7 linked regions of the Callithrix jacchus genome follow. The protein of the gene in region 6 interacts with the protein of the main gene of each other region in a pairwise test. Links are inferred from orthologs where the notes say so. Each region holds a gene or a part of one and is shown on either strand. Other genes may lie near its edges.

Region 1 (4,112 bases), on a different chromosome or scaffold from region 6:
CCCTCACAGGAAAGACACCTGGTGTTTTATATGTCCTTCTGAACGCGGACAGGGTATTTCTATGAAGTTACAAAGCTGCAATCCCGTTCTCATGTGCAGCACCACAGGTTTTGCTTTCAAATATCTGCAGGTGCATCCTCCTGAACTCGTTAAACGAAGGGTTTTCCTTTTCTGTGCTAGGCTCGCTTCTCCACCCTGCTCTCCACAGCAGGGGTTCTAAGACCGTCATATCACCGCAGCCTTTGTGTTTTACCGGAGAGTTGAAAGCCTCAGAGCTGCTCGCGATACCTCTAGTGTAGTCGGGAAGGTCCCCACCACGCACTTCTGTAAACCAGATCAGGGAGGCCTGGGGATTCTGGCCGCAGAAAGGAGCAGAGGAGGTAACGGCTCGGGCGGCCAGAGTAACGCACTTGTAGGCGGATTCGGAAACGCGAGCTCTAGAGTCGGAGGGATTCGGAGGGACTCGGAGGGACTCGGAGCGATCTCCCCGGAACGGGGCGGCCTTGGCCTAGGCGTGGCGGCTTTCCAAGCGCGCTTCTAAAAGCTCCTGGAATAGCCACAGATCTCTACTGTAATCAGAACGAGATGTAAAATCTAAGACGCAGGATAGGGCTCCGGCGGCAACATTTTGGGAGAAAATGAAGAGTGCCAAACTACGCAGCTGGTCCAGAAACTAAAGACTACGATTCCCAGCATTCAATGCAGTGTACCCCCCGAGGATGTTGCATGCCGGGAGCTGTAGTTTCTAACCGCCTCCATCCGAAAGCGTTCTAGGGATTTTCAACCTCTCTCGTGTGTTTCTCCTTTCTGAGAAGCGCCGCTACACGAAAAAGCTGGCCGCGAAAGTCTTGCTGGAATCACTCCCAACGTAACCCCAGTCGTAGTTGGGAAAGGGTGAAGAACGCGTTGCCACGACTACCGTTTCCCCGGTCACGGAATAAACGCTCTCTAGGATCCGGAAGTAGTTCCGCCGCGACCTCTCGAAAAGGATGGACGTATTCTGTGCCTACGTTCATTGGACGGTCTCCCTTAGAGGCCAAGGCCTCCCAGGCAAAGGGGCGGTCCTTCGTGTGAGGGGCCCGCGGAACCATTTGATTGGAGAAGAGCTGCAAACCCTGACCAATCGGAAGGAGCCACGCTTTGGGCAGCGGTCACCGCACCTGGACAGCTGCGATTGGTGGACTTCCGTCCCCCCCACGAGTCCCCATTGGGTGCCGTGACTGCGTGGTGCGGCGCGATTGGTAGGTTCGTGTGTCCCAACCCCCGCCCGCGAGAAGTGGGGGTGAAAAGCGGCCCGACCTGCTTGGGGTGTAGTGGGCGGACCGCACGGCCGGAGGTGTGAGGATCTAGCTCCAGGGTTGGGGGGTGGAGGCGGCTCCTGCTATCGGAAGGGACTTGAGACTCACCGGCCGCACGCCATGAGGGCCCTGTGGGTGCTGGGCCTTTGCTGCGTCCTGCTGACCTTCGGTGAGTGATTCTAGAGGAGCAGACGCCCCCCCCTCCACACGCGCGGCCGCTTCTCGAAGGTTCTGGGGGCATTGAACCTGGGAGGAGGGAGATCTCAGGGCCTGCGGTGGGCCAAGGGACGTCGCCTTTCCTCGAAAGAGGACTAGGGGATTACGTTTATTCTCTTCCTTTGGAATTAAGAAAAGAGAATAGAATTATCTAAGTTCCCTGCAGGTCTAATAGTATCTCGCCCAGAGGTCTCAGCGACCGCGGGGAGGGGCCTCATTGGGGCTCGGGCTCCCGCGGGAGCTGTGCGAGTCCCCCCCACCCAGAAGGACTCTTTTGGCTACCGCAACCTTCGGGCACCCAGCTTTCCCGACCCCGAATTCCCCAGACTCCGATTCCTCGCAAGCGCTTGTCCTTTCTTAGATGTCGGCGTTGGGAGCGTGAGGCCTGGGGCCAGCGGAATGGCAGTGTCAGCGTGTTTGATTCGGTTTTGGTGGAGCTCGGTTCTTCACAATATTCTACCCCTTCTCATGCCTCTGGGCTCAATTTCAGTTCCTTTCGCCAGAGGTTGCATAAATCCTATTTGTATTCTGACCTGTGATAACGAAGGCCGAAGTTTTGGCTTGGACAGTTGGGAGGCCTTGGCTCGGCCTGCGAGCAACACGTGTGGGTGTAAAAGAGGCCCGGCATCAGTCTGCTTAACGTTATTTATAAAGGATCGGAGACACGCTGTTTAGAAGTGGTGGCTGCCTCCGTATTTCAGAATCTACGGGGCACCTCGGCATCTGAACTTATAAATAGGTGTGCTGTCTTGGCTTTACCTTGGGTGTTTAAGCCAAGGAATGTGCACTCTTTCATCCCTACCTCCCTTATTTACCAACTGAATTTTGCAACCCCTACCCTTCCCTATTTGATCATCCTCCTTGGAGAAGTGCAATGTTGAAGAGTTTTCCCGTATTAAATCTTTCTTCAGGGTCGGTCAGAGCTGATGATGAAGTTGATGTGGATGGTACAGTAGAAGCGGATCTGGGTAAAAGTAGAGAAGGCTCGAGGACGGATGATGAAGTAGTACAGAGGTTTGTGTTCATTTGAACTTACCTACACAGATAAGCCCTGTGAACCTTGTGAGTTATGGTCACTTCTGATGTATCTCTTCTCCAAAAGTCCAAATAAAGTCTGACACCCTTGTATTTAATACCCGGTGAGTTATTTGCATACATACCTCCTAACTTGTACCTGGGAGTGATTAAACTGAGTGAATTCCTTTGAAAACTATATTGCAGAATACTAGCACCATAAACTTTGTAAGACTAGAAAAGACTTTCAGTTGGATTTGTATTCATTAACTGTGTACACCTCGTAAGTTTAAAAATGGGGTTTCTGTCAGTTGAACAGTATTTTTAAATTTGGCCTCTTGGGACTTAATGACAGTTTTGAAGTCCTCACTGTGGAAGATAAATGAGTATGAAAAGTTGGGATTTATTTTTCTGACAATTTTAAGAACCCAGTATTTCCAATGCAATATTAAAAGGTAGCCTACTGCTGTGCTAACATAATGAGATGGTATATCAGTAATATTTTATAAAGGTTTCCATTTTAACTCCCAAGACAATATTCAGAGGCCACTGTGCTCTCATTATAGTTTCTCTAGTTTTGAAGGGAGCTAAGCCATGTTGTATTTGCTTATCTGATTTCCTTAGAGAGGAAGAAGCTATTCAGTTGGATGGATTAAATGCATCACAAATAAGAGAACTTAGAGAGAAATCGGAAAAGTTTGCCTTCCAAGCTGAAGTTAACAGAATGATGAAACTGATCATCAATTCATTGTATAAAAATAAAGAGGTAAGCAACATGTGGTTAGAGTATTTTGTCTCTGTATGTTGGCATACTTGTTTACTTAAATTTGCATAATTTACTGTGAAAGTAATGTAGTATCCAAGTAAGTAGTAACAACCTTTAAATACTTAATAAGTCCAAGAATTGCTGGTAGATATCTGGGGAGAAAGAGGGTGTCAGGCATGTACTTTTTTCTTTACCTCCAAATAGGTTCATGGCCTGATAATAGTTGTGAGTCTAGGCCAGGCGTGGTGGCTCAGGCCTGTAATCCCAACACTTTGGGAGGCTGAGGTGGGCTTATCACGAGATCAGGAGATAGAGAACAACCTGGCTAACACGGTGAAACTCTGTCTCTACTAAAATAATTAGCCAGGCATGGTAGTGCACGCCTGTAGTCCCAGCTATTCAGGAGGCTGAGGCAGAAGAATCGCTTGAACCCGGGAGGCGGAGGTTGCAGTGAGCTGAGATCACGCCACTGCACTCCAGCCTGGGTGACAGAGCGAGGCTCTGTCTTAAAAATAGAAAAAAAAAAGTTGTGAATCTAAGAGCAGTCACATAAACTAAACTTCTTGCATTGCATACCTGAAGATCACTGTTAGGTGAGTAGTGTTACTACCCTTACCAGTTAATGTATCCCTTATAGTTGCCACAGTTCTTTGTGTAAAGAGCTAGGCTTTATTTATTTATTTTTTAATCAAAAGAATAATGCCACTCCTATACCATAAAGTCTTAATCCTTAAAGAGTGCTTTTATAAGGTACAGAGAAGAAATAAAATGGGTTTGGCATAAAATTGAATGTCTTAATGCATATTGAGGATAATCTA
Region 2 (3,940 bases), on a different chromosome or scaffold from region 6:
CAACAAATACTAATCATTTCCTCTGTAGTGTGTCCAGAACACACGAATTCCCTGTCTTGATATTCGAACAGAAGACACAGGAATGAAACAAATCTTTTACACATTTCATTTTAAAATCAGAATTGTGGCAAAGGAGCAAAGAACTACAGGGCCCTATGCAGCCTGTGACAGGGACCTGCTCTCTTCTTTCTCCTTCTTGAAGAGGGATCTTTGCCCAGAAGAAAGTCTCTCCCTTACAAAGTCAGTTGCATTCTCCAAACCCTGAGAGAAAAAGGTCTTGCGGTCCCTCCAAGGAGCCCTGAATAGGGGAAGACAGCGGATAAGGAACTCCATCCTTCTCAAGTCGTCTTTCTCCCTCAGGGCCCACAAAGAAGTTGCAATCAGGTTCTTTTCCTCTCCTAAGGAAGTGGCAGAGCTTCCCTTCGGTGTCTTCTCCAAGAGGTCTCCCACGTTTTCCCTTCTGGGACAGCCCTTCCTTCATATCTTTCAGGGACCCCACACTCTGAAGATAGCCTTTACATCCCTATTCCCCTTTGGGAAGACGTCCTGGAGACCAGGTACTCACAGATATAGCCAGTCCCCGAGCCCCAGGCCGCCGCAGCAGCAGGAGGAGGGCAGCCTGGCCCAGGATTCGGCTTTGCCTCCAAACCCTCGCCGCAGCGATTGCTACCGCCATCTTAGCTAACAACCATTTAGCGGTCCGGCCCTCTTGTAGGCTGGACTCCGGGCTCCCCCTTTATATGCCTGACGCAAACTCCAGGACCATCTGACACGGAAACCACCTTTTTTCCTTCCTGTGGTAGACAGAATGCACAGAGATTTGGAAAAGAAAATCTATCTGTCCACAGTTTTCTACAATTGCCTCACTGTAGTTATTCCTGCAACAGGCAAAAATAAAGGGCAACCTGACCAAGGCCCCAGGGATTTAGGGGCCCGGTGTTCAGAGTAAAACAGGACCAGGCCAAGGCCCGCCTCCTGTTCTCAACTGCCCAATGGTGTTGCCAGAGTTAGGAGGTGGGTCAGGGCGGAGCCAAATTGTTGGTAAACGCTAAGCCACGTGCGGACGCCGGGGCTGACTGCCCAGCCCAACGCGTGCGCACTGGTTACGCACCCTGTACGCAGCGCGCGCGGTCGGGCGGAAGTGACAATCGCAGCCGCACGTGGAGTCTGGCGTGATGGAGGAGGAGAGGCATACTGAAGCCAAAATTGGCGCTGAAACTGGAAGAGGGTCCAGCCCTCGGGGTCCCGGCTGCAGCCTCCGGCACTTTGCCTGCGAACAGAACCTGCTGTCGAGGCCAGATGGCTCTGCTTCTTTCCTACAAGGTAAGAACTTCACGCTGGTCTTTCTTTCAGAGAGAGACTACAGTGCAACTGAGTGTCCACCTCCCCACGTTACCAGCTGGTAAATGTCACTCCTGCACTGATGCAGGATTTCTTGTCCGGTTGAATACTACTACATACGCAGCGATACACACATCTCTCCCTCACGACTAGAAAGGAGAAGATAGCTCCATCCTGGCAAATATCTCTGAGAAACAGAAGAGGGGCAGACCGTCCCCCCAAGAATGGATATTTCAGAATAGGAAAAATCACCTCACCAGAGTAAATATCCCCCTTAACTAGATTCGTCCTCCGCCTCTCACACACACACTCTAGGTCCATGCATCCCGGACTGACGCAAACCTATCTATTTGCAAATACTCTGGACTGTGACGGATCTTTCACCCACATAAATACTCGCCACTGCCACCTCACTGCATCTCTCCACAGGAGTAAATATCCCTAAGGTTAGAGCAAGTCTTACCTATAGGGTAAATATGCCCTTCCCCTAGCTAAATAACACTCAATACTAGATTAACTCCAAGAACATTTTTCTTTAAAATTTGACATGGGAGGCCGGGCGCAGTGGCTTCACGCCTGTAATCTCAGCACTTTGGGAGGCCGAGGCGGGTGGATCACCTGAGGTAGGGAGTTCAAGACCAGTCTGGCCTACATACAAAACCCCATCTTTACTAAAAATACAAAAATTAGCTGGGTGTGGTGGTGGGTGCCTGTGATCCCAGCTACTCAGGAGGCTGAGAGCAGCTGCAGTAAGGGGGAGGATGGTTAGCTTTCAGGAAGGACTTCCTGTTAAAAGTTACTAATATCAGGGCCAGGTATGGTGGCTCACACCTGTAATCCCAGCACTTTGGGATTACAAGTGCCCAGTAGTTCAAGACCCTCCTGAGCAACATGGCAAAATCCCCTCTCTACTAAAAATACTAAAATTAGGCCGGCACAGTGGCTCACACCTGTAATCCCAGCATTTTGGGAGGCCAAGGTGGGCAAATCACCTGAGGTCAGGAGTTCAAGACCAGCCCTGGCCAACATGGTGAAACCCCATCTCTATTAAAAATTTTTTTAAAAAGCCGGGAATGAAGACTGTACTTTCAGGGATCATTTCTATAGTGTGTTACTAAAAAGCCGGGAATGGTAGCATGTGCCTGTAGTTCCAGCTACTCTGGAGGCTGAGGGGGTAGGATTGCTTGAGCCCAAAAGGTTGAGGCTGCAATCAACCATGATGGCACCACTGCACTCCAGCCTGGGCCAGGAGAGTGAGACCCTGCCTGAATGCCTTAATGGATGACTATTACTAATATCAGCTAAAGTCAGTTGCACACTCAGCATGAGCCCCACAATGTCTGAAGTGTTCTCTGTGAATTGAGTCCTTTGACCCTTACCGGACGCTAGAGGGGAGGGACTGCTGTTGTCCCCATTTTACAAATGAGGATTCGCAGGCAGAAAAGTGAAGTGAGTGCTCCAAGAATCACTGCCAACAAATGGCGGGGGTGGCGTGGGGAGCCCTGGCCATCAGGCTCAATGCCACTAATGGGGCCCCAGAAGCCGCTGTGAGTGAGGCCTCCCCTGCTGTCTCCCCAGGTGACACCTCTGTCCTGGCGGGTGTGTACGGGCCGGCCGAGGTGAAGGTCAGCAAAGAGATCTTCAACAAGGCCACACTCGAAGTGATCCTGAGGCCGAAGATCGGGCTGCCTGGTAATGGGCACTGCTGAACCTCCGAAGAGTGCCCAGTTTGTCAGAACCGCTCCCTGGCTCCTCCCTGCCAGCTGCCCCCAGTCTCCACTCCACTGTTTCTTTAACTCTCTGTCCCTGTGTCTCATCTTCTGTTGCTTCTCTGTCTGCCTCTAATTTCTCCCTCCGTCTCTCTTTCTCCCTATCTCTGCCTTTATCTCCCTTTCATTCCATTAACCCGTTTTTCTTTTTCTTTTTCTTTTTTTTTCAGATGGTGTCCTGCTCTGTTGCCCAGGCTGGAGTGCAGTGGCGCGATGTCGGCTCACTGCAACCTCCGCCTCCCAGGTTCAAGCGATTCCCTTACCTCGGCCTCCTGAGTAGCTGGGATTACAGGCAACTGCCACCACCCCCAGCTAATTTTTTTGTATTTTTAGTAGAGGCAGAGTTTCACCATGTTGGCTAGGCTGGTGTCAAACTCCTGACCTCAGGTGATCTGCTCGCCTCGGCCTCCCAAAGTACTGGGATTACAGGTGTGAGCCACTGCGCCTGGCCCTTTTTAATTTATTTTTTATTTTTTTGAGATGGAGTCTTGCTCTGTTGCCCAGGCTGGAGTGTAGTGGTGCGATCTTGGCTCACTGCAACCTCCACCTCCTGGGTTCAAACTGTTCTGTCTTAGCCATCCAAGTAGCTGGGATTACAGGCATAAGCCACCACACCCAGCTAATTTTTCTATTTTTAGTAGAGACAGCGTTTCACCATGTTGGCCAGGCTAGTCTTGAACTCCTGATCAGGTGATCCACCCGCCTCAGCCTACCAAAGTGCTGGGATTACAGGCATGAGCCACAGAGCCCACCTTTTTTTTTTTTTTTTTTGAGATGGAGTCACTCTTGTCACCCAGGCTGGAGTGTAATAGTGTGATCTCAACCCACTG
Region 3 (4,049 bases), on a different chromosome or scaffold from region 6:
TGTCACTACCTTCTCTTCCCCATGACTGAGTCTCTTCACAGGTCTCCTGCCCCTTGTTCCCTCCACCATGTCATACAAACCTTGATGACATTCCACTTTTCAGATTAAAATCCATTAGGGCCTTACTATCACCCAAGATAAAATTTAAATGCCATAAGTTGGGTCCCTGCCTCTCATGCCAGCCCCTCTGTTGTCCCCTCCTTCACATACCCTAAACTTTTGAATGCATTCTGGGTGAGTCAAACTCTGATACCCTACAGGTCTTTGCATTTTTTTCCCACCTGCCTGGAATGCTGGTTTCCCTGATCTCTGGTTAGGTGGACAATCAGGACTCATACTTCAAATCCCAAAGTATTATTCCCAAGAGCCTTCCATTCTTCATTGAGCCAGGCCTCTTTCCTCTCTTAACTTTCCTACCACTTTGAATATACCAATACATACCGGTGTTATAGCAGGACATGTTTGCATGTCTAGTTCCTCACTAGATTGTGAGTTCCCTGAAAGCAAGGTCGTATCTCTTAATGGTGTTATCGTCTGGTACAACACATAATACGTTGAGAATCAGACTGATTCAGATAGAACTAAACTTCTTAGCTCTGTGGTCTTGGGCATGTTACGTATAACTTTTTGCCTCATGTTCCCCTATTTGTAAAATAGTGCTAATGAAAATAGTGCTTATAATAATTATCGTGAAGACGAAATAGCAAAACTCTTGTGCGCTCCTTGTACATAGCTGGCACTCAGGATAGACACGGCTATAGAGTGCCCTCCATAAATATTTGTTGAATCAACTCAGCAGAACTAAGGAAGCGTACTGACTATTACGCTGTATACCTACTAGGTGCCAAGCCTTGTGCTAGAGTACTCCAGTTTTCGCGGTCTATATGCAAGTCTTTAATTGTTGCCTTTTAGGGATATGGGACCTGAGCCCCCAAATCCTTGGATGCGTCGTTCACCTAGGTGTTTGTTAAGAACGCTGTGCGACGTTGCCCTCTGTCGCTCGCTGATCGTAGCCCGAGGTCAAGCTTAGGCGCTCTCACAAAACCCAGACCACTCTGATGTTTTCGGCTTTGCTTGTTTCTCCTTTCCCAAACCTGTTGGCCGCTCGCTACCCTACTGCGTTTTCAACAGGCCGCGCCCACCCACTGGCGGACTGGGCTCCGCCTAACTCGCGCCCACTGGGGGCGGGGCTTGCGGCGCCTAGCTGACGTCACTTCCAGCGGACACGGAAGCGCGGTAGTGGGCAGGCAGTTGTAGTTAGGAAATCGTGATGGGACGCCGCTCTGCGTGAGCACCTGACCGACGTGGGCCGAGCGGGGCCGGCCCGGGCTCCTGTGGCCTGGACAGAGCGGAGAGTGTGGAGCGGCTTCTGGGCCAGCGCGGACGAGCCCTGGCCGAGCGCGCCTCTGGTGCCAGCGTCGCCCCGCCTCCAGGGTAGTACCCGCCCCACCCTCCGGGCTTGGGACCAGGCGGGCACTTTTGTCTGTAGGTTCCGCCTATCCGCATTAGGTCCGGGATAACTGGGTGCAGCAGGTGTGCGGCCCGCCGCCGGACAGCCCGCTGGCTGTTTCTTGAAGCCCTTGCCTGCCTCTTCGCAGCCCTCTCTTGGGCTACTGGAAAGCTGAAGTGGAGCAGTCCGTTCAGAACCTTCATGGAGAAGTTTGCTATGAATTTCGGTGGCGGCCCGAGCAAGAAAGACTTGCTGGAGACTATAGAGACGCAGAAAAAGCAGCTTTTCCAGTACCAGGCACGGCTCAAGGATGTGGTCCGTGCCTATAAAAGCCTGCTGAAGGAGAAAGAGGCGCTAGAGGCCAGCATCAAGGTGCTGTCGGTATCCCACGAGGCAGATGTGGGCCTCGCAGGTGTCCAGCTTCCAGGCGTCGCCTTTCCGGACTTTGTGGATGACCGGTGCTCCACTCACAGTGAGGATAGCACTGGGACCGCCACTAGCGTGGATACGGCAGCCAGTCTCACCAGCACCAAGGGCGAGTTTGGGATAGAAGATGACAGACCAGCCCGTGGACCACCACCTCCGAAGTCCGAAGAGGCCAGTGGGTCAGAGAGTGGTGTTAGCAGTAGCAGTGGGGATGGGCCATTTGCGGGTGGGGAGGTGGACAAAAGACTGCACCAGCTGAAGACTCAGTTGGCTACTTTGACCAGTTCTTTGGCCACAGTCACTCAGGAGAAGTCCCGCATGGAGGCTTCTTACCTGGCTGACAAGAAAAAGATGAAACAGGACTTAGAGGATGCCAATAACAAGGCAGAGGAGGAGAGGGCTCGCCTGGAGGGAGAATTGAAGGGGCTGCAGGAGCAAATAGCAGAAACCAAAGCCCGGCTTATCACGCAGCAGCATGATCGGGCCCAAGAGCAGAGTGACCATGCCTTGATGCTGCGTGAGCTCCAGAAGCTGCTGCAGGAGGAGAGGACCCAGCGCCAGGACTTGGAGCTTAGGTTAGAAGAGACCCGAGAAGCCCTGGCAGGACGATCATATGCAGCTGAACAGATGGAAGGATTTGAACTTCAGACCAAGCAGCTGACCCGTGAGGTGGAGGAGCTGAAAAGTGAACTGCAGGCCATTCGAGATGAGAAGAATCAGCCAGACCCCCGGCTGCAAGAACTTCAGGAAGAGGCCGCCCGCCTTAAGGGCCATTTCCAGGCCCAGTTACAGCAGGAAATGAAAAAGGTAATTATCCACCTCTCTTTCAAACATAGTCATTGATCTGAAGTGGGAAATACTAGGGTTTTTTTCCTCCTTTGCTAGTGAGAGCTAAGTGTTTGTACTGTCATTTTTGATGCTACCTGAAAAGTTCCACTGGTGAGTCCCGGGAAGTGCTGTTTTATGTGGTGTTGACGTAGAAGCTTCCAGGAGGATGTGGAGCTTCTCAGTGTAGGCTGGGTTGGAGCCAGTCAGCCCTGCCCTTCTGGGCATTGGCATCTTACCAGCTGTGTTCTATGAAGCAGTATAGTGGCAGCTGTACAGTAAAAGGTAGTGTATTTTCTGTTGGTATGTGCCGCTAGGGAGGGTGGCTGAAGGCAAAGGGGGATTTTCTCAGAAGTAACCTCTTGTCATTGCCTTTACTTAAGATTTGCCTATTCTGGAGAAATGCTATTTTCCAGAATAGGCCTCCTTTCTGGTGGAGAAAGGGGGCTTCCTTCCAATGTGGTGAGGGAGCTCCAGCTCAGTTTTGAACTACTAGGAATATTAGATAAGGAAAAATCTTGTATGATTTCTTAAGATTTGAGGAAGCACCTGAAAAACAACAGTGACACACATTATATGTGAGTTAGGTGGAAAGCAGAATGGAATGGCAGATATGCCAAGGTGCTTAATATTTTTTAGTATAATATGTCTTGCAGAACCCAGGCAGGTCATAGGAACTTTTGTTAGCTCCTGAATCAACCGAAAAATCCCTATTTCCCATTCTTGTCAGGCCATTCCAATCCTGTGACCCTTTTGCTCCCCTGTCCTGCTTTCTCAAAGTTTGCTGTGGGGCTTTTGTGGATGCATTATTTCTCTTCCCTTATTTTGCAGACAGCTCTTGCAGAGGATCAACTCCGTCAGCAATCTCAGGTGGAAGAACAGAGGGTGGCAGCCCTGGAGAATCAAATATCTGAGGTGTCGGAGCTGCTGGGCACGTACGAGAAAGCCAAGCAGAAGGACCAGCTGGCCATCCAGAAGCTGAAGGAGCGTATTCTGCAGCTGGACCTGGAGAACAAGACACTGGCTCTAGCAGCCTCCAGCAGGTCCCCTCTAGACAGCCATGGAGAGGAGTCTAGTCTGGATGTCAATGTCCTGAAGGATAAAATGGAGAAGCTGAAGAGACTGCTGCAGGTTGCAGCCAGGAAAAGCCAGGTGACCCTGGATGTGGAGAAGCTCTGTGACCTGGAGATAATGACCAGCTCGGAGACTGCTGATGGGGAGAAGGCTACTGCACTCTATTACCAACAGGAGCTGAAACAACTGAAGGAAGAGTTTGAGAGGTACAAGATGAGGGCCCAGGTGGTCCTAAAAAGTAAGAATACCAAAGATGGTAATCTGGGGAAGGAGC
Region 4 (4,112 bases), on a different chromosome or scaffold from region 6:
TCCAGTGAGGTGGTTAACTCCCATGGAGCAGGGAATTATCTGTCTCTCCTCTTTTTGTGTCTAGCACAGTGCTCTGAACAATGGGTTTCAGTTAATTAAGCAAACATAAATGTGTTATTCTGGAGCATAGTGTCTTCCTCTGCTCATTACATGATGCTGCTGATCCAGACGTTCTTTCCAAGACTGATCCAGACATTCTTTCCAAGACAAATCCAGACATCTCCTAGGGAGAACAAAGTGCCAGGTGTTAGGGCAGGTCCTACAGAACTGTTGCTTCCTGCCACAGAGTACTTACGCTAAAACATGTAAAAGTATAATTAGGGCACTGTGGTTATTCCCATTTTACAGTTGAAGAAAGTGAGGTTATTCAGCCGGGTCACAGCTCCCGGGTCCTGGACTCCTGGGTCCAGGGCTCTTTGCACTTCCGACCCAGAGGTCACCTTCCTGCCCCTAAGCCAGGCCCTATGGCAGGATGCCCATTCCTCAGAAGCGGCCCCTTTCCCACCCTTCATCACTCCGCATTCCCATCCTGAGTACCATGGTGTACCAGAACATTTCCAGATTGTGGTGCTGGCTGTGAGAGGGCAGAGCGCGAGGTGAACAGAGGTCAGATTACTCCAGAGGGTGGAGGTGATGGGGATTCGTTTATGGAACTCCTTTGGTTCCTGGCACTTGGCTGGACACTGTAAAAATGCCTGTGTTAGCCTGGGCAACCTAGCGACACCCGGTCTCTTGAAAAAAAAAGAAAAAAAAAAAAAAAAAAAGCCAGGCGTGGTGGCGTGTGCCTGTGATCCCAGCTTCTGAGGTGGCCGAGGCTTGAGCCCAGCCCAGGAGGTCGAGGTTGCAGTTGAGACGTGATCGCGCCACCGCACTCCAACCTGGGCGACAGGGCCGGACCCTGTCTCAGAAAAAAAAAAAAAGGCTGTTACGGGGGAGGAGGGCCCCTAGCCGGACCTGTACCCTCATGAAGAGAGGCTCAGAGGGCTGAAGCACCTGCTCGGCCAAAAGGCGTGGGAGAGGGGCAAAGCAGGGCCGGGGGAAGCAGCTTCCCCTCCGGGGCTGGGCCTCTGTTTGCCCAGTACCCAGTCCTTAGCCTGAAGGTGGTGGGCTTCAGCCAGAAGCCCCAGGCGGAAGCGGTGCCCGCGTGTGGGCCAGAGTGCGGGTGTGCAGGTCTCTGGGCGGCCCAAAGAGGGTGTCCCTGCCCGGGAACCCAGCAGCTGGGGCGGGAGGGTGGGGACGGCGGCAGGCGCGCGGGGCAGGCTCCGCCCCCAGGGACGCGGGTTTAAAAGAAGCGAAGGCGGGCCCGGGAGCCGAGCTGCAGTGGAGCGCGCCGGAACCGAGCCGCTGCCGGGGCACAGCTATGGCCCAGGGGGCGGGGGGCGCTCGGCTGCTCGGCGGCCTCCTGCTCTTCGCCCTGCTCATTGCCGGCGTCGCTCCACTCAGCTGGGATCTCCCGGAGCCCCGCAACAGAGCCGGCAAGATCCGAGTGCACCCGCGGGGCAACCTATGGGCCACCGGTAAGTCTGAGGGGAACCGGGCAAGCAAGTGTCCCCCACCCTGCTCAGACCCCATTTCCTTCTCAACCCTCTGGCCTTTCCTCAGCCACGGATACTTGTGTCGGAACAGGTGGGGAACCTTGGGGCTCATCTAATTTAATCGATGTGAACTTCAGACCCCGACAGGTCAGTGACTTGGCTAAGGTCGCACAGCCAGTTTAAGGCAGGATGGGGCTAGCTAGATCCTAAATCCCACTGCCAGCCGGTGCCCCTTACCTTAGGCGAGACTTCACCGACTCTTCTAACCACCCGTGTGTTTTTGCTGCACCTCCACTTTCCAGGCCCCTCTACACACTCCACTTCCTACTCTGCCCTTTCTCATCCCTTGTCCAAGCAGGACACACAACTAGCAGAGTTTCTCCCTGGCCCTGGACCATACCACCCTCCTTCCAGCTGTGCCATCCTCTCTAGTTGTTCGGGAAAAGCTGAGGGAGCAGGCTTTGCCACCCCCCAGATACTTTTGTGGCTCCTTGGTGAGGTGGAACAACCAGGAGGAGGAAGGTTAAGTGTCTTCCTGCCACAAGAACAGAACTGTGGGAGAGATGAGGAACTTTCCCACTGGGGTAGGGTCCTCACTCCTTGACTTCCTTGTGCCTGGGCACCTCCTTTCCAGGTCACTTCATGGGCAAGAAGAATCTGGAGCCTCCCAGCCCATTCCCATTGGGGACAGCTTCCCACACCTCCCTGAGGGACCAGAGACTGCAGCTGAGTCATGATCTGCTCAGGAGCCTCCTGCTAAAGAAGGCTCTAGGCGTGAGCCTCAGCCGCCCTGCACCCCACATCCAGGTGAGCCAGGTCCCCACTCCAACGCCAGGATGGCCCAGCTGGGGCCATCCCTGGATCCTGCATGGGTGGAATTACCACCCAGCACTGTATTAGGGTGTGACTGTCTGATCAGGACATTATGGGTGTGGACCCCAGAAAGCCAGGGTTCCAGGCTTTTCTCTCTTGAGGCAGAGCTCAAAGGAGGAACAGTCCAAAGAAAGGAAGTTGACCTTCCCGGCAGACCCCACGGAGCAAGAAGTAGGGAAAGAAGTTCCCCTGACTCATCACCCAATCTAAAGAAACAGACTGGGCTCGTCAGCCTCTTAAAACAGGGCCTTTCTCTCCCAGTGCACACAGCCTTGTCCCACCTGTGCTGCATTAGTCAAGTTCACCTTTGCTGTGCCCTGTGTGTGTTTGTGGCCGGACTGGACCCTGAGGCCCAGAGAGGGAAAGAGAAGTCAGCAGCCAAGACAGAGTCTGGACCTTGTTCACCTTCCAGCTGTGAACCGGTGCTCTCCCCATGCTCTCATCTGCCTCAGTTCTCCCCATGCTCTCATTGGCCTCAGTATCCGGTGGCAGAGTTGAGCAACTTCAATACGTCTGACATCCTGACTTTCTAGGCTGGATTATTCCTTGTTGTGAGGGCTGACCTGCACATCATGGGATGTTTAATGGCATCCCCGGTCTCTACCCACTAGATGCCAGTAGCACCTTCCCCCCGCTTCAAGTTGTGACAACTGAAAAGACCTCCAGACATCACCAGATGTCTGCTGTGGGAGAAGGCCCCAAATCATTCTTGGTTGTCAGTCACTGACCTATGGGATTCAAGGCCCCAAAGCTGGAGCCAGGCCAGCCTTCAGGTCTAGCCCAGTTGGGTGGCAGCTCCTCCATTCCCTGTTCCTGGTGCTGTCCTTACTGCACAGCACCCTCCCTGGTCCTGCTGCTGTGTGCAGAAGGCAGTGTAATGTGGTAGAATGTGGGCTCTGACTACAACGTGCTGGGCTGAGAACCTAGCTACTTAGTAGCTGTGTGACCTTAGAAATGTCCCTTAACCTTTCTAAAGCCTCATATTCCTCATCCATAAAATGAAGATGATACTGAGAGGCTGAGGCAGGAGGAGGATTACATGAGGTCAGGAGTTCAGGACCAGCCTGGCCAACATGGTGAAACCCCATCTCTACTAAAAAATATGAAAATTAGCCAGCCATTGGTGGCAGGCGCCTGTCAACCCAGCTACTTGGGAGGCTGAGACAGGACTATTGCTTGAACTCAGGAGGAGGAGGTTGTAGCGAGCCGAGATTGCACCACTGCACTCCAACCTAGGCTACAAGAACAAAACTGTCTCAAAAAAAAAAATAAATAAAATGAAGACAATAATAAGGCCCATCTCCCATTAAATGAGACAATTGATGTCAAATGCTCAGCATGGTGCCTGGCTCATACAGTCCTTAGTAAATGGGAGCTCATACGAGTCTGTGAGCTCCCTGGCAGCACCTGTTGAGGACTCACCTTCATATCCCCCCACTGTGCCTAGCATATCATGCGTGCATTTTGAAGGGAGGGGCATTCCCTAGAAAAGATCCAACCCCAGCCTCAACCAACATCCCTGACTTCCTGATGCACAGAACCAGCAGCTCCTGAGGACCTCAGATGTAAGGCCTAGGAGCTTGGGCTGGCTGAGACTGAAGGGAGACAGTGTCACCTCTAGTGCGTTGGTTTTGAAGCTCTGGCACATGCAGAACAATTGAGAATCTCAGAAGCAGCAATGCATAGGTCTGGGGGGCTTCAGAG
Region 5 (4,235 bases), on a different chromosome or scaffold from region 6:
TTGTTTTATAGGTCCTTTGTGATTTATGCTTTAAAGGGGTTCTGTTTAGATGTGTTTCCAGGACTTTTTTTTCAAGATTTAGAGCTTCTTTTAGCAGTTCTTGTAGTGGTGGCTTGGTAGTGGCAAATTATCTCAGCATTTGTCTGGAAAAGACTGTATCTTTCCATCATATATGATGCTTAGTTTTGCTGGATACAAAATTCTTGGCTAATTATTTTGTTTGAAGAGACTAAAGATAGGGCCCCAATCCCTTCTAGCTTGCAGGGTTTCCCACTCATTTTAAAGGAGAAACGTTTACCAGAGTTGTTATTTAGCATAGAGGCTATGTGGAAGTTTGTATTAAGAGCTGAGAGGCAATAAAATTGGTAACTGACAGGAACTATGCTCGGTCTTTAGGATTTATCAGCTTTGAGACTCCTGAGACTGGAGAATCCGACTGTGGATAGCTAAAATCAATGTAACATCTCAGTTTTTATAATGAGAAGTGTACCCCCATTAGCTATCTATGCTCATTGCAAATATGAACAATTCAGAAGACTAAAGTGTAAAGTGAAAGTCCTTGAAACTTAAAGTCCCTGATATTAATACCATTCATTCACCAGAGATAAACACTATTTTAACAATATGATGTCTTTTCTTCCAGACTGCCAGTAATTGAACAAATATATGATTAACACATAAAGGATACCATATGAACTCTTTAAACTTCTAAAATTTACTGTATCAGGGAATTAATATACCTTTTCGAGCCAGTAGATATAGGTCTTCCAATTAAAAAAATTAAGTTACAATAGAGTGAGATTTGGGGTGCTATCCTTTTCGGAAAGCGTCCTCGATGAGGTCATATTTGGAATTACCCTTCACGCCCCACGTCTTCTCTGGGCTCCCGCGGACTCCAGGCTGAGTGCTGAATTGTGGATTTTCATACCCAAACCTCTGTTATTTCAGTATCTCACCTGGTTCCTCCACAGCGCAGAAGCGCATCCCAGGTTGGAAGAGCCTCTCCGGGGAGACTCAGCGAAGCGCTATTCAGGGCCCAACTCAAGCCCAAGCCTAGCTCCTCCTCAGGTCGTCGCCAGAGACCCCACTTCTCCCGAACCTCACCGGTACCCCGCCCCTGACTCCGCCCACCACAACACGCGGCCCCGCCCCTCCCCACCCCAGGCTCCACCCACCATCCGGGCTCCGCCTACCCGGAACCACGATGTCGTCCTTGTTCGGGGCTCCGTCCACTGGGAGCTCGCGCCACTCACCCCACCCCCGACCCGCCCATTTAGCTCGGGCTCCACCCTCCCAGGAACCTGCGCCGCTCGCCCCGAGCTCCGCCCACTTCGTCCCGGGATTCCCGCGCCGGGAACTCAGGCTGCTGGCCACGCCCCACCGCGCTCCTGGCCCCGCCACCCAGAAACTGCCCCGGCTGCCCCGCGCTCCGCTCATCCCGCCCTGGGTGCGCGTGCGGGCCGCTGCACGCCAGCCCCTTCCTTTGCTACGTCAGGTCCAGTCGGTCTTCCTGCGGCTGGGGCCCTGGCTGAGCTAGCCGGCCATGGAGGGTAATGGCCCCGCTGCCGCCCAGTACCAGCCGGCCAGCCCCCCGCGGGACGCCTGTGTCTACAGCAGCTGCTACTGGTGAGGAGACGCGGGCGCAGCCTCCGGGTTTCCCCGGCTCCTGGGCCGCGAGTCGCAACCGTGGCTTTCCTCTTCCCGGCCCCTTCTCGCGGGCGCTCCAGGCCTCGACCGGCGGGTTCTACAGTTTCTGCGGGAGGAGGGAGCAGGAATGGCAGCTCTCGTCTCTTGAGTAGAGCGTGGGCTATTGGATGGGGTTGGGAATTCTCCGGAATCATAGGGTCGTTAGTGCATTTCCTGTGCTTGGTGCTTGTGGGTTGGATTTGCTCTGCAGATCTCTGCTTGGGGGCAAGGCAGGGGTGGAGCTCTGAAAACCTTTGGAAGTTACTCTGCTGAAGCTTGTGGGGTTTAGGACTTAGGTGAAGGCTATTTTAATTTTGGAAGAGAATGGAGGCACAGAGAGTTTGGTGTAACTTGCCAAGGTCACCCAGCTAATAACCCTGAATCCAGTTCAGGCTCCCTGACGTCAGAAACCATGATCTTAACCGTGTTGTCATTATAATAATGGTTACATTTACACAGCGCTTGCTTTAGGCCACGCATTATTCTGGGTAGTTTGGGTAACATAAATCACTGAGCATCACAGTCACCCTAAGAGGTAGGTATTGTTATCCTCATTTTAAAAGATGAGAGCACTGAAGCACAGAGGGCTACAAGTAATTTGCGCAGGGCCACGTAGCTTGTGAATGAAGGAGTGGGAATTTACAGGCAGAGTCTGGCCCTGGAGTCCACGCATTGCATTTCTGTCCTAGGCCACCTCTGCAGCTGAAGCACCACCCCTGCCTTGGTACTTTTTGATTCCGATACCTGCTCTTGCCTGAGTAATGGCTTCTTCCCCAGCTTCCAGTCCTTGCACAGGAAACCTCAGGGCTCTCTAAAATTACTCCTCCCCTTTCTGCTGGTCACTAAACCAATGCCACCAAGAGCTTAGCATTTGTTTGGCCCTGATTGCATGTCAGGCTCAGTGCCAGGTGCTTCCATCGATGTGCAGGAGGTAAATTCTTTTATTATCATTATCTTCATTTTACTAATAAAAAGCCTGAGTCACAGAGAGGCTGTTGTGTGCCCCCAGATCATACATCTAGCAAGTGGTGGTGCTGAAACTGGAACCTCTTTGTGATTCTGAAGTTCATGTGTCTTAACTGTTGCACTGTTTTTCTGCCCTGCCTCTCTTCTAAATCCTTTTAGTTCTCCTCCCTAATGTCCATTCATTGTTTTATTCGTTCTTTCAATAAATGTTTGTTAGGCAGTTGGTAATATGTGGTACACTTCTGGGCACTGGGACTATAGCAGTGAACAAAATCGACAAATTCCCTCATGAAGTTCTTGTTATATTTTGATGAGAGAAAAGCAGACAAGGCCAGGTGTGGTTGCTTAGGCTTGTAATCCCAGCACTTTGGGAGGCAGAGGTGGGTGGATCACTTGAGGCCAGGAGTTTGAGACCAGCCTGGCCAACAAGCAAAAACCCTGCCTCTACTAAAAATACAAAAATTAGCTGGGCAGGGTGGTGGGTGCTGGTAATCCCAGCTACTTGGGAGGCTGAGGCAGGAGAATTGCTTGAATCCAGGAGGTGGAGGTTCCAGTGAGCCAGTGCCACTGCCTTCTATCCAGGGCAGCAGAGTGAGACTCCATCTCGAAACTAAACAAAAAACGACAAAAATGAGTAAGCAATGCTTGGGTGGTGGTAAGTGCTGTGAGAAAAATAAGATAAAGCATGGTGACTTATTTTCTATTACGATATTTTGAGAAGACATTGTTATCAGGTGATAACTTGAACAGAGATCTGAAGAAAGAGGGTGAGAGCTTTGCAACTTTTGAAGAATGGTTATTTAAGCAGGGAGGATAGCAGGTACAAAGGCTCTGAGAAGGAATCCTGCTGTGAGTATGATAGGAACAGCTCAGAGGCTGGTACAATTGGAGTACTGAAGTAAAGCAGTCTTGTAGAAGAATGGTAAGAGATGACCACTCTACCACAGGGTTTCTCAGCCTTGGCTCTAGTGACATTTTGAGCATGAAAATTCTTTGCTGTGGGGGCTGTCCTGTGTATTGCAGGATGTGTAGCAACATCCCTGGCCCCTACCCACTAGATGCTGTTACCACCCCAGCCCTAGATGTGACAACTGAAGATGTCTCCAGACATTGCTAAGTGTCCTGTAGGGGTTGGGGGGCAAAATCACCTCTTGCTGAGAACCAGTTCTCTACCCTGTCTGAACACATCAGGTAGGACACCACACTACTTCCTGCAGCTGTGTGTGTGTGTTTTAAGACAGTCTCAGTCTATCACCCATGCTGCAGTGCAGTGGCGCAACCTTGGCTCACTGCAACCTCCGCCTCTCCAGCTCAAGCCATTTTTCTGCCTTAGCCTCCCCAGTAGCTGGGACTACAGGTGCCCACCACCACGCCCAGATAATTTTTGTATTTTTAGTAGAGACGGGGTTCCACCACGTTGGCTGGGCTGGTCTTGAACTCCCAATCTCAGGTGATCCACCCATCCAAAGTGCTGGGTTTACAGGTGTGAGCCACGGTGCCCGGCCATCCTGCAGGTTTTTTAACTTGAAATGAATGCCTCCTGTTTACTTCTGGGTCAGTAGTGCCTTTCCTGTGCTTGGTGA
Region 6 (4,297 bases):
TAAGTATATTCATTATCTTACTGTTTTGGTCAGGACAAGAACTGAAAAAGAGAAATAATCTTGAGTTCAGAATGAACAATTCTTGTTATATGTATTTTCCCACATGTTAGGAATGTTCTGTAACTTTCCGAGAAATAGTGACTTCAACTAAATACTAAACTACTACCAAGCCCCAGCTGTATTTTTGGATGTGTTTAGTCATTGGGAGCCATGGCATTTCTTTTTTCTGTATTACGAACTGTTACACTCACTTACTCTGACTGTTAACATTGGAACAGAAGACCTCCTGTTCTGTGACTGATTGGCAGGCAGAAATGACACGGACAGGAAATGGGAAATGGTTCAGGGTCTCGGAATTCCCCCGGCTGCCTAATTAAGTGGCTTGCTATTTGGAAGTTTTTAAAATGTTTGTCCCTTGGAGTTCCCCAGAGAGAAGCAAGCATCAGATTCAATGGGCAAAGAGCGTCAACTTCAAAAGTCTTTGGCTGTCATACCAAAAACATTTACTGCATGCCATTGTGTCTATGGCACCACTGAGGGAGCATGGAGGTGGACACAAACGGTCCATGACTAGTAAAAGCCAAGGGTTTTTATCTACAAATTTTCTATTACCTAAGCATTAAAAAAAAATTGGGCTCCTCTATGGTTTATGTACAATTATATGTGCGTGTACACCAACATACAGGCAGGAGTATGTCTTTCATTTTACTGAAACTCAGAAAACACCGGAGCGTGAAGCCTGGCTTGCAATACAGTTCCCGTCGCTAGCAAGGAGCATCTGAAATACCGACACTTTTCCTCAGAGCGTGATTTCAGTATGCACTGCTGGTCTCCAGAACCGAAAACCAAAAGTTTAAAAACAAGATACTCTAGTTGATCATAAAACAATTGTTAAGTCTTCACAATTATTCATCGGATGCTTCCTACTTTCCAACGCTTCGCTGTTTTCGATTTGCACAGCCAACCGTTGGACATCGATGCTACACAGTTACGATTGTTTACTTAAGCAAAATATGCCACCAGACCGACTCCATCGTCAAAATCCAGTCATCTCGACGACGAGGGAAGGCATCACACTGGGGGGGGGGCCTTGCCAGGGCCAGGCCACAGCCCTGAGATGACACATGGTAGGACGCGCAAAACCACCGGCGCCAGGGTGTTTCCGCAGATTCAAACGCAGCGGCTCACGTTCTGCCACGTCCCCCAGGAGAATGGTGGCCACAGAGAGAAAGGAAATGTGAGGGGCACACACCGCAAGGTAAATAAAACGAACAAACACCGAGTTGATTCGGATAGCCCCATTCCCCTGACAACCCAGCCGGCGACTCCCGTGGGCGCTCACTGGCGCCGGGCCTCCCTGGGCCACCCGGCGTCTTTCCCGGAGGTTTGTCTCCTCACCGCCTAACCCGCGCTGGGTTTCGCTTTCCCGCCCCGGCCTCCCGGGCGCCCTCCCGCGGAGGCTAACGCGGGTCCCCGGCCCGGCGTGCTGACGTCACCGTGCGTCGGCGTGGGCCCGGCTGGGGCGGCGGGCTTCGGGAGCGCGGGGGCTGATACGAGATGAGCTGGCCGTATCTCCTAGTAGGCGCCGCCGCTTCCCGGCTCTGAGGAGGCCTCTCGGTAGCCGCGCAGCTTCCGTGTTTGCTGCGCCCGCACTGCGGTGAGTGCTGCTCCTTCCGGGCTCGGGCGGCGCGGGACGGGTGGGGACGGGTGGGGACGCGCGGGCCCGCGGGGGCCCACTTCCCTAATGTGGTGGCTGCGGGAGGAAGGACGCGGCCTGGGGCCCGTCGGCCGAAGGTTGAGGGTCGCCGGGGGTTCTGTGCTTTCCACTCTCACCGAGGTTTTATTTGATTCGGAAGCCCCAACTTCAAGACTTGCAGTCAAAGCGATTTTTTAAATAGGACTTGTTTTCAAGCCTCCTCTGGCCGCCGCCCACTCTTCTGGCCCTGGGACCTTGACCAAGATGTTTTCTCGCAGTTTTTTTTTTGCAAGGTTTTAAACTTAGCTTTCGGCTTTCTTTTAATGGAAGACATGGAAACGAAGACATTTCGGTGGCGCCGAGATCTCAGATTTCATAGTTCCCACTGCGCTGTCACTCCGGTAGTCGCCTGCGGTGTGTTGTGAGGAACAGCTCTGGGAAAGTATTGGGTAAATCCCATAGCTTCTATTCCTTTCCTTTCCGCCCTGTCCCCTTGCCCCGCTGCAGTTTGCATAAAGAGAATGCAGCAGTGTGGTGCTCGTAGATACAAATCTTTCATTTAAAGACAGGCTATGAGACGGGGTGTAATTAAAGCCGTCACGGCAGTGGTCACCGTGCCAGGACCACTGTTTCACAGCCCATCGTGTTAGGTTTTGTTTTCGAGTTGCTTTCTGCGGTTGTTGCCTTGGAATTGTAAGGGAATGGTGGCGTTTAAGGGTTTATATTAATGAGCTCCTGTTTTACTGCAGTTTTCCTAGTCGTGCAGAGACTTGATATTTACACACTAACGTTGCTGTCTAATTACTGCTGTACTGCTGCTCACCGGGTTTAGTGGAGTGTCTGCCTGTCTTTTTAACCAACGTTCCTTTGCCTCCAGGAGAGTGCCAGAGATAACTTAGGTCAGAAAAGGAGAGGAGCGCAAGGACAAAATGTTTTTTCCTGTGAAAATGTCCATTTGCCTTCAAAATTGTACATTTTCAAGACAGTATAGTTAGTGCTCTGGGAAGTATATTGCATTTATTTATTTTAATTAAGTACTTTTTCAGTTAGAAAGTTGTAGTGACAAATTGCTGGAATTAAGATGTATAATCTTTTCTTTTATTATTATTATTTTTTTAAGACAGAGTCTTGCTCTGTTGCCAGGCGCCAGTCTGGAGTGCAGTAGCGCAATCTCGGCCCACTGCAATCTCCGCCTCCTGGGTTCAAGCAATTCTCCTGCCTCAGCCTCTCAAGTAGCTGGGACTACAGGTGCGCGCCGCCATGTCCAGCTAATTTTTGTATTTTTTACTAGAGACAGGGTTTCACCATGTTGACCAGGATGGCCCGATCTCTTCACCTTGTGATCCGCCCACCTCGGCCTCCCAAAGTGCTGGGATTACAGGCGTGAGCCACTGCGCCCCGCCAAGATGTATTATCTAAAGTGTAAATTATTCTTTCACTTCACTGAATAAATTGAAGAGTATATAAGTTCTATTTGCCATGCAAATACAGTTTTCTGAAATACCTTTTGTTTTTTCTTTTCAGATTTACAGCCCTGAAGAATCTCCCTCTCCCTATTTTTCCCCCTGCAGTAATAAATCCCATTATGAAGACCTCGAAACTTTATAAAGGGATATAGTTTGAATTCTATGGAGTGTAATTTTGTGTATGAATTGTATTTTTAAAACATTGATTTCAGAAAGAAGGCTAGTAGAGTTGATTATTGATACATTATGCTAAGCAGTACTTTTTCGGTAATAGAATATTTTGTTAGGCATTTCTGATAACACTAGAAAGGGCAGGTTACATCTTGTGACAAATTGAGTAATGTTTAATTACAACATGACTGATAATTATAGCTGAATCGTCCTTAAATGATGTACAGGTTATTTAGCTTTTAAATGCAGTGTAAAAAGTGTGCTCTGGAAATTTTACAGTTAACTAAGTTTATGGAGAAAATACCTTTAGTTAATCAAGAATAATAAAACTGTATACAAAGTTAGGCAGAAAGTCCACATGATGCTGCAGGAAATGGAAACAAATACAAATGATATTTAACTAAGATAGAAGAGTTTACAGTCTGTGAACTTTAAGCAAAGTTCATTTGACATCAAACACTGTAACTGGCACAGGTTCAGCAAAGCTTGTGGGTGTTGGCTTCCCCAAAAGTTGTCAGCTGAAGTAATATAGCCCACTTATGTAAATACTCTGATGATAAGGGGTGTGAATTTAGCCTTTAAGTAGTGTGACCATATGAAGATTTTAATTACTTTTGTTTATTGGAATAAAATGAGATTTTTGGGGGGTTGTCATATTAAAATGCATATAGGGAAAGATGCCTGCATATAATTTCTTACCTTGTGGCATAATTCAGTAATTGTCCTGTTATCCAGGCTTAATAGCTTGTAACCAAACATAAATAAAAGGCATAATTTAGGTATTCTATAGTTGCTTAAAATTTTGAGAATATAAATCTCTTTGAAAAATCAAGGAGTTTTAACATTTTCAGAAGTGCATTGACTTTTTCTGAGCTTTTCGTTAGTATTATACAGATTATGAACAAATAGCACTTAGGTTGCCTAAAAGAGTGACTATAACCCCAAAGAGTCGTGTTCTAAGTAG
Region 7 (3,500 bases), on a different chromosome or scaffold from region 6:
TGGTTTTCTGCATATCACATCATTGTGATTTAACTTTTAACAGGATCAAGAAATGTGGTGGTTTTGTGGCTTGGAATAGTTTGGGGCAGCCTCATGTAAATGGCAGGCTTGCAATGACAAGAAGTATTGGAGATTTGGATCTTAAAACCAGTGGTGTCATAGCAGAACCTGAAACTAAGAGGATTAAGGTAAGAAAGGACCTGCAAGCACTTGATGCACCTGCAGAGAGTGAATGTAGGAATGCCTCCGCTGCAGGCTTTCTTGGAAGCCTTAACTGAAGCCAAAATGATTTTTAAAAGGGAGTAATATATGGAAGGAGAAAAAAAAAACTTTTCAGTTAAAATAAGATGCTACTATTCTGGCCTAATGTAGAGGAGAAACCATAAATTATTTCTTTCCCCCTTTTTAGGTTCTTAGCTGAGACACTTTATTGAAAACAAAAGTCAGATTAACTACAACAACTACAAATAAGCAGACGGTTCAGCGTGCTGTACCCATTGTGCAGGAAAGGCTTCAGTTCAAAGTATTTCTCTCTCAAGGCAGTGGTTTAGGGGCTTTGCTTAAATAGTATTTAAACAAAGAGCCACAAATCCTACATAGGGACAAGATAAAGAAGAGAACACTTTCAGTCTTTTAAAAGGCAGAAAAATGTGTGGAAATAGTAGAACCTGTTCCCAGATTTCTCTAGTGCCTGCTGGTTTCTTCTCTGGGCTGATAAACAAGTGCTGTCTCCAGCCACCAGGCAAATAGAGGCCCAGGAAGTTGTTCCCCTGCCTTTTCAGTTACTTTGGCAATCCTCAGTATTTGGGAGAGAAATATTTTGGTATCCCTCAGTATGAAGAAGTGTTAGGTTTTTGTTTCACTCCAGCTATGGAATTCTCCTGGTGGAATGGTCCTACTTTTACTCACCTGCACCCAATCATCCAGCATCACTTGTACGTAATCAGCCAGCATCACCTGCATCCAGTCAGCCAGCGGCACTGCACCCCATCAGCCAGCATCACCTGCACCCAATCAGCCAGCTTCACCTGCACCCAGTCAGCCAGCATCACTGCACCCAATCAATCAACATCACCTCCACATGGAAGCTGCCCTGACTTCCCTTCTCCACCAAACCAAATAATTGCCCACTTCTACTTCTGCAGCATCCTTTGCATGCTACTGATCAGTGTCCTCATTGCCCTTAACTGCCCCCAGCACACACCCAGTCCATGAACTGACACTTCTCTAAAACTCCTGAGCCACTATAGTCCCTAGTACAGTATAGTGTAGGCTTCCAAAACTGGCAGCAAACACTTGTTAATTAATTGCATGAAGGATTTCAAGTCTGTAGATATCCAACTTTGTGCCTTATAGATATCCTACTTCATATTATCTAACAGATACTTAGGCAGAGTTTACTATGTGCTAGACTTTTTTCAAAATAAGTACTACTATTTACATTTTCCAAGGAAAATCTAAAGCATACAGAGGTCAATGCACCTCTGCTCACCCAGCCCAAAAATAGAGGCAAGATTCAAATCCTAGAAGCCTGGCCTTAAAAGACAGCACTCACAACTGTTACATCAAGCTGCCTCTCAGCATTGGACTATCTGGATTCTCCCTTTACAATGTTAAATTATGCAAGTAAAGCAAGATATCTTGAAGGGTGTTTGCTAAATGGTTAGGACTGATTACCTCTGGTGATCGGATTTCAGAGGATTGCAACTTCTTTACTCTTTACTTTCTGCTATTAAGTGCTATTTATATTTTACTAATTAAATATTAGCTTTATCCTTGGTGGTTAATTCTAAATGTTACTACTTTTGCCCAACATATAGGCTTTACATTTTCACTGTTTGCCTATGTATTAGTCTGTTCTCACACTGCTGATAAAGATATACTTGAGACTGGGTAATTTAAAAGCAAGGAGGTTTAATGGGCTCACAGTTCCACAAGGCTGGGGAGGCCTCACAATCATGGTGGAAGGTGAAAGAGGAGCAAAGTCATGTCTTACATGGTTGCAGGCAAAGAGAGCATGTGCAGGGGAACTCCCCTTTACAAACCATCAGATCTCATGAGACTTCTTCACTGTTATAAGAATGACATGGGAAAGACCCCACCACCATGATTGAGTTACCTCCCATTGGGTCCCTCCCACAACACATGGGAATTATGGGAGCTACAATTTAAGATGAGGTTTGGGTGGGGACAGGGCCAAACCATATCAGCTTACAAGCTCTTACACAGATGACCACTTAGCAAAACAGATAAAAATATTCGAATTAGCAAGATTATTCTAAGTCAGAGTCTAGCTAATAATCATAGGCATTTGGTTCTGATTGCAGTTACATCATGCTGATGACAGCTTCCTGGTCCTCACCACAGATGGAATTAACTTCATGGTGAATAGTCAAGAGATTTGTGACTTTGTCAATCAGTGCCACGATCCCAATGAAGCAGCCCACGCAGTGACTGAACAGGTGACCCAGAGCTTCTGCCTGAAGAGTCTAAGGAGAAGGAAAGGACAGCCCAGGCATTGTGTTTTAGCTTTTGAGTGTTGCAGTGAATTTTACACTTGATTCCATAATATTTCCAAGTATAAAATTTTTATTATTTCCCCAAGTTAAAATTTTAATATGCCAAGGAAATGAGCTTTGTTTATTCTTTGGCTTTGTATATACTTTGAAATGATAGTAACAGCAATAATAAATTATAATAGTAGTAAACTAATATATCACTTACACTTACTGTGTCACAGTATTCGTATATATTAACTCATTACTAAATGTATTGTACAGTATATAAAATTACATATATGGTAATCACAATAACCCTATTAAGTTGGAGCTATTACTGTCCCTTTTCACAGATGAGAAAAACAGGTACAGAGGCTACACGGTTAAGTAACTCACTGAAGGTCACCAAACTATTAAATTGCAGAACTGGACTTCAAACCCAGACAACCAGGTTCCCAAGTCCAACCACCTGACCATTAAACTAGACCATTAAACCATTGCTCCAAGCAAATATCCAACTTGAGGATATAGCATAGTCATCTTCTGGTTATTCAGAGTGGGTGTGTGGAAAAGATAAACCAAAATACAAAAAAGCATAGGGATGAGGTTGTGTGTCAGTCAGAACTAAAATTAGAAGAAAGCTGGGTAATATCCAGTAAAGAAAACTTAAACTGTGCTTTGTATTATTTAAAGTATGTTTTAATTCAACAGCTATTTTTGCATTTCCCAAAATAAGATAACAGACCTTACTTTAAAAGTATTATTTGCTTGGAAATAGTTGGGCAACATCATCATAATACATGAATTATTCATTTGGTTATGGCCTTCACCCGTGCTAACCAGGGTGCTCATGAAATTGAGGAAATGGGCCCAATTCCATGGATGAACACTTTTTTCCCAATTTCAACTGCCTGTCTTGTAGATATTTGCATTCTAATTCACAAAGGCAATGAAATTTGTAATGAATGCATAGTGTTCCATCTTATTCTTATACATAATTCA

The links.
Region 1: the proteins of BIRC2 (region 6) and HSP90B1 come close enough for resonance energy transfer, tested with the Homo sapiens proteins (2 studies listed by BioGRID). The link is inferred for Callithrix jacchus from reciprocal best matches to the Homo sapiens genes BIRC2 and HSP90B1.
Region 2: the proteins of BIRC2 (region 6) and EXOSC5 interact in binary tests that used the Homo sapiens proteins (3 or more experiments, as listed by UniProt). The two-hybrid records come from large-scale screens. The link is inferred for Callithrix jacchus from reciprocal best matches to the Homo sapiens genes BIRC2 and EXOSC5.
Region 3: the proteins of BIRC2 (region 6) and GCC1 interact in binary tests that used the Homo sapiens proteins (3 or more experiments, as listed by UniProt). The two-hybrid records come from large-scale screens. The link is inferred for Callithrix jacchus from reciprocal best matches to the Homo sapiens genes BIRC2 and GCC1.
Region 4: the proteins of BIRC2 (region 6) and NMB interact in binary tests that used the Homo sapiens proteins (3 or more experiments, as listed by UniProt). The two-hybrid records come from large-scale screens. The link is inferred for Callithrix jacchus from reciprocal best matches to the Homo sapiens genes BIRC2 and NMB.
Region 5: the proteins of BIRC2 (region 6) and NTAQ1 interact in binary tests that used the Homo sapiens proteins (3 or more experiments, as listed by UniProt). The two-hybrid records come from large-scale screens. The link is inferred for Callithrix jacchus from reciprocal best matches to the Homo sapiens genes BIRC2 and NTAQ1.
Region 7: the proteins of BIRC2 (region 6) and PPM1K interact in binary tests that used the Homo sapiens proteins (3 or more experiments, as listed by UniProt). The two-hybrid records come from large-scale screens. The link is inferred for Callithrix jacchus from reciprocal best matches to the Homo sapiens genes BIRC2 and PPM1K.

What each region holds. Positions count from the first base shown.
Region 1 is NC_133510.1:106,876,481-106,880,592, forward strand, and holds the start of HSP90B1 (endoplasmin), read left to right. Parts: upstream 1-1,312; 5' UTR 1,313-1,418; coding exon 1,419-1,467; intron 1,468-2,425; coding exon 2,426-2,528; intron 2,529-3,152; coding exon 3,153-3,294; intron 3,295-4,112.
Region 2 is NC_133523.1:36,667,916-36,671,855, reverse strand, and holds the start of EXOSC5 (exosome complex component RRP46), read left to right. Parts: upstream 1-1,140; 5' UTR 1,141-1,175; coding exon 1,176-1,323; intron 1,324-2,417; exon of another isoform or gene 2,418-2,610; intron 2,611-2,919; coding exon 2,920-3,033; intron 3,034-3,280; exon of another isoform or gene 3,281-3,323; coding exon of another isoform or gene 3,324-3,354; exon of another isoform or gene 3,355-3,940. Other genes in the region: BCKDHA (2-oxoisovalerate dehydrogenase subunit alpha, mitochondrial), read right to left, coding at 566-676. UniProt on the Homo sapiens protein: Non-catalytic component of the RNA exosome complex which has 3'->5' exoribonuclease activity and participates in a multitude of cellular RNA processing and degradation events.
Region 3 is NC_133512.1:119,386,002-119,390,050, forward strand, and holds the start of GCC1 (GRIP and coiled-coil domain-containing protein 1), read left to right. Parts: upstream 1-1,249; 5' UTR 1,250-1,651; coding exon 1,652-2,683; intron 2,684-3,532; coding exon 3,533-4,049. UniProt on the Homo sapiens protein: Probably involved in maintaining Golgi structure.
Region 4 is NC_133507.1:23,745,477-23,749,588, forward strand, and holds the start of NMB (neuromedin-B), read left to right. Parts: upstream 1-1,312; 5' UTR 1,313-1,360; coding exon 1,361-1,517; intron 1,518-2,169; coding exon 2,170-2,342; intron 2,343-4,112. UniProt on the Homo sapiens protein: Stimulates smooth muscle contraction. Induces sighing by acting directly on the pre-Botzinger complex, a cluster of several thousand neurons in the ventrolateral medulla responsible for inspiration during respiratory activity.
Region 5 is NC_133517.1:73,988,315-73,992,549, reverse strand, and holds the start of NTAQ1 (protein N-terminal glutamine amidohydrolase), read left to right. Parts: upstream 1-1,435; 5' UTR 1,436-1,543; coding exon 1,544-1,626; intron 1,627-4,235. UniProt on the Homo sapiens protein: Mediates the side-chain deamidation of N-terminal glutamine residues to glutamate, an important step in N-end rule pathway of protein degradation.
Region 6 is NC_133511.1:2,389,922-2,394,218, forward strand, and holds the start of BIRC2 (baculoviral IAP repeat-containing protein 2), read left to right. Parts: upstream 1-1,497; 5' UTR 1,498-1,657; intron 1,658-1,974; exon of another isoform or gene 1,975-2,026; 5' UTR 2,027-2,145; intron 2,146-2,816; exon of another isoform or gene 2,817-2,839; 5' UTR 2,840-2,944; intron 2,945-2,987; exon of another isoform or gene 2,988-3,118; intron 3,119-3,220; 5' UTR 3,221-4,297. UniProt on the Homo sapiens protein: Multi-functional protein which regulates not only caspases and apoptosis, but also modulates inflammatory signaling and immunity, mitogenic kinase signaling, and cell proliferation, as well as cell invasion and metastasis.
Region 7 is NC_133504.1:109,410,003-109,413,502, forward strand, and holds part of PPM1K (protein phosphatase Mn(2+)-dependent 1K), read left to right. Parts: intron 1-43; coding exon 44-188; intron 189-2,327; coding exon 2,328-2,462; intron 2,463-3,500. UniProt on the Homo sapiens protein: Serine/threonine-protein phosphatase component of macronutrients metabolism.